2 linked regions of the Canis lupus familiaris genome follow. The protein of the gene in region 2 purifies or fractionates together with the protein of the main gene of each other region. This does not show direct contact. Links are inferred from orthologs where the notes say so. Each region holds a gene or a part of one and is shown on either strand. Other genes may lie near its edges.

Region 1 (4,072 bases), on a different chromosome or scaffold from region 2:
GAGCCTAATTTAAAATAAGATTCACAGGTAATTCTTTTTTTTTTTTTTTTAAGATTTTATTTATTTATTCATGAGAGAGAAAGAGGCAGAGACACAGGCAGAGAGAGAAGCAGGCTCGTAGCAGGGAGCCTGATGTGGGACTCGATCCCAGAACCCCGGGATCACGCCCTGAGCCAAAGGCAGATGCTCAACCTCCTGAGCCACCCAGGCATCCCAGATTCACAGGTAATTCTTAAGCATGCTAAATTTTAAGAATCACTGCTGTACTAGTAGAATGCCTTAACCAGATTTCAAACTTTGCATTCCAGATAATGCACTACAATGTCTTTGCATAAAATAAAAGTAATGCACATTCACTTGGCTCAACTAGGAAAAAGCCAACTTTAACAAATAAAACCAAGGGCTCTCAATAGCCTTTCAGTAGTGCTAGGAAAGTCTTTTGAACTAAGCAAGGAACTATTAATTTCTCTCAGGAGAGCATGGTACATCTCTATTCTGTATTAATTTCTCCAAAATCTATTATTATTTTGTTCTAGGCAACAATCAGAACTGCTGCTGCACAACAGGCAACATAACAGCAATTTCTCAAAAAAACTGCTAAGTACCATCAACTAGTAGTATTTAAAACCCAGCAATCCCTCAAATCTGAATACACTTGCTAAGGGAGTAAACTGCCTCAAGCACTTAAATGCTTGCTTTTAGTATCAAAGAAAGCCAATTACAAGAATTAACTTCGGTTTTTATTTTGGGAATTCAGAAAATTTTGGACAAAGGAAGGAGTAATGAAACAGTTATTTATATCGAAAAAACCCCAAGAACAGTAACAACGATGCCCCATTAGAAGAACCCTGGTAAAGAATCCAATTGCCACAATGGGCAAGTTGTTTTTTTTTTTAAATATTTTATTTTATTTATTCATGAGAGACACAGAGCGAGAGAGAGAGAGAGAGAGAGGCAGAGACACAGGCAGAGGAGAAGCAGGCTCCATGCAGGGAGCCCGATGTGGAACTCGATCCCAGGTCTACCAGGATCACGCCCTGGGCTGCAGGCAGCGCTAAACCGCTGCGCCACCGGGGCTGCCCAATGGGCAAGTTTTAATTCATCAGTGATCTAAAGAAATTCTATTCCCTTAAATATTTAATGTTATCTTAATTCTACTGTAACATAGGTCTAAGGTTGGTTTTCATTTTCTAACACACACCACTCCCACTAAAAGCCGAAAAAGAAGTCCTACAAACCCCAAATTGACCCAATCTTCCTTACTAGTATAAAAGAGACATAGGAAGAAAAGTGTAAGCAGGCACAAAAGCACAATGTTAAAATGAAGAGAACAACTAAAACACAAATAACACAAGCAAGCTACACTTGTGACCTAGTGGCAGTATTGATTACTTACGGATGAATTCAATCCTTTGAGCCTCCCAGTTCCCAGGGGGAGAACTTAAAGTCTCCCAAGGCTCTCTGGCAACTCTTCTGGCTGACTGAAGGAACACAGTGGACGCTTCAAAGTGAAGGATAAAGCAGGAAAAAGGGTATCTTCCCCGGAGAGAAAACGGAATCTTTAAATGAGGGAGAAGACAAACTGCACCAAAGGGCAGAAACCTTGAAAAATTATGCCAAAGAGGGGACAAAAAGGAGGAAGGGGAAGTAGATTAGAAGAAGGGGGGGAGGGATGAGCAAATGACTTGCATTACACAAGCAAACACTTAGTGTCCCCAGTGAAAATGGAGACAAGTAGGTAGAAAGGGAAGGCAACTACTGGAGAAGTATAAAGTGAGAGAGAGAGACAGGAAAGCCAAAGAGATATGCTATCTTCTTTCATGTGTCTTTTGGGCTCTTTTCTGAGTCAACAGTACCAAAAGACACAGGTCGAGTGCACTTCGGCTCCTCTGCAAATCGTACCTTTTGGAAGAACTCCCTAAACGAGCTGTTAACTCACGGGGCGTATATGGAGAGCGATGCAAATGAAAAATACCAGTGCCTTCCTTATCCTCTTGCACAGAAACCTTTCCTCGGAGCATTTCCAACCAACTGCTGCTTATTGTTCTTTACAAGTATTTTTCAGTGTAGTTTCAAAAAAACAAAAACAAAAAAACTAGACATCTCAGCTGGCTCCGGCAGCAAAAGTTCTAAATCACGGTATTCATAGGGTCGGTGGGCTCCCTCCCCAAATTCTGGCCCAAAGACACCGGGAGATGGTGACGTGGTGGCCGTGCAGGTCGCAAGAGCATCAATCACCACACTTGCAGCCGCGGCGAATCCCCCGCCTCCCGGGCCGGGCCGAGTCAGACTGACTCACAGAATGAGTACCCAGGGCTCCCGGGGTTCTCCCGGGCCCCTCTGCGCAAGCCGTCCCCCGAGAAAGCGTGAAACTTAAAGAGGCGCACCCGGCCTCCTGCCCCGAGCTAAGCTAAGGGAAGGACGGTCCCCAGGAAGGAAGCGCCCCAAAAAGGGAAATACGGAGCCCGGGGGACTCCGTTCTCCGCGCCAGGCCTCGTCGCCCCGACCCTGATCCCCAACCCTGGCAGCCCTCGGTAGACCGGGCCCGGTCCTCGCGGGCCACCTCCCGCTGCCGAGCAGGGGAGCAGCAGCACCGGAGCAGCAGCAGCGCCGCCGCCGCCGCCGCCGCCGCCGCCGCCCGTACTCACCGTGGCGCAGCAGCTCCGCTCCGCGCCCGGCCGACCCGTCTGCAGCGGTGCGAGCGGCCGCGGACCGCGCTGCTGCTCCCCGAGGGCAGCGCCTGCTCCCGCCGCCGTCGCCGCTTCAGTCTTCGTCGCAGCCGCCGCCGCCGCCGCCCGCTCGCTCGCTAGCAGCAGCAACACAGCCGCCTGGCTTCCGCTCCTCGTCGGGGTCCCGCGAGAACTTCCCCGCGCGGCCCCGCCCCGTCCCGCCTCGCCCCGCCCCCGCGAGACTTCCCCCGGCGGAAAAGGCCCAGAGCGCACGCGCTCCTCCTCGGCCGGGGCCCCGCAGGTAGCCGCCGTCTAGACGCCAGGGCGCCTGCGCCAGACCGCCCCGGAGCAGGTGGCACCCACGTGGCCCCGCCTCTGGGTCGCTGTAACCCTCTCTGTGCCAAGGAGGGTAGATGACAGCTGAGCCCTGAAGGAGCAACTCTTCATCACAGCCTAATCACTTCCCTTTTCCTGCCATCAAACCGAGGATTTTGCCGGGGGATGTCGGAATCTCCCTCTATCCTGAAGCGCTCCAAATAGAGGACCAGCTTTTGAAATGCTTGAGAATTCGGTCCAAACCGCACTGTTAGACGAATGAACATATTCTTCGCTCATGGGTCTAATCAAGTGCCTGATGTGTGCTAATCCTAGGCATAGGTATAGGTATACAGGTGTTGGGTAAAGAGGTACAATGATGAACAGGTATCTCGGCCCTCGAGGAAATCGAGGAAATCGCGGTCTACAGGAGCCGGAGAGGGAGGCTTGGCTGGCTCAGCGGTTGAGCATCTTTCTTTGGCTCAGGTCGTCATCCTTGAGTCCCTGAACCGAATCCCACATTGGGCTCCCTGCATGGAGCCTGCTTCTCTCTCTGCCTATGTTTCTGCCTCTGTGTGTGAATAATAATGAATAAATGAAATCTTATGAATAATAAATGAATAAATGAATAAATAAAATCTTAAAAAATGAATTGAATAAATCAAATCTTGAATAAATAAAATCTTAAAAATGAATTGAATAAATAAAATCTTGAATAAGTAAAATCTTTTAAAAAATTAGAGGAGCGGAAGAAAACAAAAAAATGCCATATGCAATGTTAGAATTATTTGGGAGAATGCTGAGGAAGCTAAAAAGATGGGAGGGAGAACTGCTACTCTGCCCATCTCAGAATAGCCTCCCAGAGAAGGTGATGATGATGTCTGAGCTGAGTCTTGGAGGACGAGTAGGAGTTCACTAGACGGAGCTGTCGGGGAAAGGCGCTTCGGGCGAAGGGAACCGCATGCCTGTACAAAGGAACGGAGGCGTGAGAGAGAGTCGTGTTCTGTGCGATGCTAAGTTGTTCGATTCCTGTGTGAGGCGGGTGAGAACGGGGGAGCAGCAGATGAGGCTTGAAGAAGTAACTCCTA
Region 2 (3,500 bases):
ATTTAGTAAACCGTATCATCATCCAACTAGATCAAGCCAGAAGCCTGGGATCAGGTTGGCTTTTTTCTTCCTTCCCATAGACTTCCAAATCTTGCTGGTTGTACTTCTTAAATACCCATTAGGAGCAAGAGTCCTGCTGATATCACTGTTGTATTAATCCCCAATAACCTGCCATAAACCCAATGGCCTCCTTACACTCCTTTGACCCTGTCCCTTCGACTGAAATCCTGTATTAATTTCCTCTTTTGACAAGTATTAACCCCTTAACATATATTTCAGTCTCTCCATGACTGATTCCACTACCCCGTTGCATGTTTTGATATTTGTCTCAACCTGTCCTCTCTTTTCTCATACCAGCTACGCTGGAGCTCCAATATCTTGCTTACTTGCCTTCCTGAAAACTGCTATCACTTCCTGCAATGTTGTGCTCTCTTTCTTTACCTGATAATCTTCTGTTCATCCTCCAGGTCTTAGTTTAAATGTCATTTCTTCAGAGAAGCCTTGTTGATCCCTAATCTAAATTCCTTAAATGCAGCAACCACCTTGTTCGCATGCTTAGGTTCTGGGTTGCTCTACATTTGCAGCTACATAATAGGAGATGACAATGATTTTTAAAAATTAACAAATTTTAAGATGAGAAAATGCGATATCCATTATTTACGAAAATTGAGGAAAATTCAATTATCAATTTCAATTACACATTTTGGGATAGCTAACAAAACACTAACGTGAGGTCTAAAATTTGCTGCAACTTCTGTTTTTTTGCCATATTAAAAAATGATCCTGCCGTGGCCTCAATTTTTTGCAGTAAGTATTAAAATATAATCACTGAGGAATTCCTTACCTGTAACTTTAATTCAGATAAATTAATTAATTTCTGGTTAAATTACTTACATGTAACAAAATTTAACATGTAGTTCTAAAACCTACACAAAGGTTCACATCAGACTTTTTTTCATATTTATGTAAGTGACCAACAGTATCTATGGGAGCAGAGATAAATAGAATTTGAGAGAGCCAAAAAAAATTTTTTTTGAGAGAGCCAAGAGATACCCTCTGACCAAACATTTTTGCATACTGCTTTTTTTCCTCCAGTGTATTATATTTAGTATCTTAATACAATCTTATTTCATTCTCAAAACAACCCTAAAAGGTAGGTAAAGAGCTGTCATCATCCCTTTTGCAAAGACACAGTTTAAATGGCTCAAAGTCACCACCCATTAAGTTATTGACTGAGAGTTAGAATCCAGGACTTTTGACTGCAAATGCAGAACTCTTTGCTCCATGGTTGCCCATTGATGTGCCATAATCTTGAAAACTCAAAATATTAATTCCTTTAGGGTAACAGTGCTCTCTCTGGCTATTCCTATTTTTAAATGCACACAATCCTATATAGGTTACATATTAAAACACACTTATGTGTCAATTAATTTGTCACATCATTTCCTGTAAGTCAGAGGGACTTCCAGCTAATAAGATCTATGACCAATGATGAGTAGCCGGCAGGGGGGGTGGGGGTGGGAAGCTATCACAAAAATAGCAGTAAGGGACATATTAGGAAACTATGTATCTTTATCACTTTGTTGACCACCTCCATACAAGAAAGACTCTTTCTAACCAAATAGGCTCTATCTTTAAAAGTAGCTCTTTTCTGACCATGTTTAACCAGCAGTGATAGAAATGACTTGGTAGGTTAACCTGTCTGCACCTGCCAATTACCGCAACTTGCATTTGGATAGCACCTCACAATTTACAGTACGTATTTATACGCATTATTCAATTTTATCCTTGTGCCAAATACATGGTTTACTTATTTATAGATCAGAATCTTACTCTCAGTGGGCTTAAAGGACAAGTCAGGGACAGGGTCGCATTCTTCAAACTCTAAAGCCTTCCTCTTTCCCAAATCCCACAGTGCTCACCCTCGTAGAACAACATTCTCAGTGGATACTTACATTTCATCACACCTTGAATTTCATAAACAGGCTTGAGAATCAGAGCACCATAAAAGCCTTTAGGGAATGGATTTGTTAAGTCCCACTTATTTGAAAAACCTGTAAGCTTCACAGTCCGTGTTCTGTTCTTGGGTATCTTCCATTCAACAATCTCCTTTAAGGTATAAATATGTTCATCTTCACACTCATAAAATTCTCCTTCTTGTGACAAAGGCAAAGTAAACGAGTGATTTTGGTGACTCCTTACCACTCCACAGTTCACCATGATTTCTCCACTGATCTCTTCAATCGAGTTGAGCATGATTTGCTCACCCTGCTTTATAGTGAGATTCTCTAGCTTTAGGTCCTTCTGATGATAGAAACAAGGATGCCCTAGTCTACTTGATCCAATATGAATGGTCCGTGTTATTTCTTCCATAGTGAGGTATGGAGTTTTATCAGCCACAATCTTAAAAAGACCTAAGAACAGAAGAATTATGTAAATTAAAGAGTTGTGAGTTACAAAACCAGTACAATGTAGCTTTTAAAAAGAAATATATTTGTTTTAATCCTGAATTCCTCTGGTTACCATGGTAATGTATCATTTGTAAATTACTGGATCATCAGATGGAAACAAGGGGAAAATACCTAGAAATAGAAAAGCCCCTGTTCTTGAAGTGGGAAATAAGAACGAGATCCTGACCTGCTGTATCCCGACTAGCTGTGTCATCTTGAGGAGGGCATTTAATCTCTCAAAATCACACTTTCTATCTTTAATTTTTAAATTAAGAGGATTGGATTAGATCAGTATTTCTATAACTATATTTTCTGGACATATTCTGGAAGATATTCTGGAAGAAAACTGTTTCATGGTCAAATTGGCAAGCACAAAGTTATCTACCTTGAAGGAGACGGTAGTGATGGTTATACAACATTGTGAATATAATTAATGATGCCAAATTGTACATTTTTAAATGGTAAATTTTATGCTATGTGTATTTTACCATAATAAGAAATACCTACATATTTCCAATTAAATACTTCTCAGAAAATTTAGATGCAGCACTGCTCACAAGAAGAGAATATAATGTGCAGGATTTTGCAAATTTGATTATAATAAAATTCTTGGGAAAACATCCATTGATAAATTACAGCATGCCATACCATAATATATTGGTGCTCCATATAACTCTCCTAGGAAAAGGCCAGGTTAGGTAGTTGTTCTGGATTGAATATTTTTGGTTATATATCATTCTTCTCATTGCTTCTCTAATTTTGCCAATTTTCACTATTGGAAAATTTTTCCTCTAATACTATTGGATAATCACTAATACAATTAATTTTTTTAAATTTTTTTTTAATTTATGATAGGCACACAGTGAGAGAGAGAGAGGCAGAGACACAGGCAGAGGGAGAAGCAGGCTCCATGCACCGGGAGCCCGACGTGGGACTCGATCCCGGGTCTCCAGGATCGCGCCCTGGGCCAAAGGCAGGCGCCAAACCGCCGCGCCACCCAGGGATCCCCAATTTTTTACTATTTAAGATATAGCTTTTTAGGCTTCTGTG

What was found. The genes of interacting proteins can lie anywhere in the genome.
Region 1: the proteins of THEMIS (region 2) and GRB2 purify together in Homo sapiens (co-immunoprecipitation; 6 studies listed by BioGRID and IntAct, counting the BioPlex papers as one, with this or other methods). This does not show direct contact. The link is inferred for Canis lupus familiaris from reciprocal best matches to the Homo sapiens genes THEMIS and GRB2.

The regions. Positions count from the first base shown.
Region 1 is NC_049230.1:5,987,318-5,991,389, reverse strand, and holds the start of GRB2 (growth factor receptor-bound protein 2), read right to left. Parts: upstream 2,801-4,072; 5' UTR 2,649-2,800; intron 1-2,648. UniProt on the Homo sapiens protein: Non-enzymatic adapter protein that plays a pivotal role in precisely regulated signaling cascades from cell surface receptors to cellular responses, including signaling transduction and gene expression.
Region 2 is NC_049222.1:67,028,110-67,031,609, forward strand, and holds part of THEMIS (protein THEMIS), read right to left. Parts: intron 2,415-3,500; coding exon 1,956-2,414; intron 1-1,955.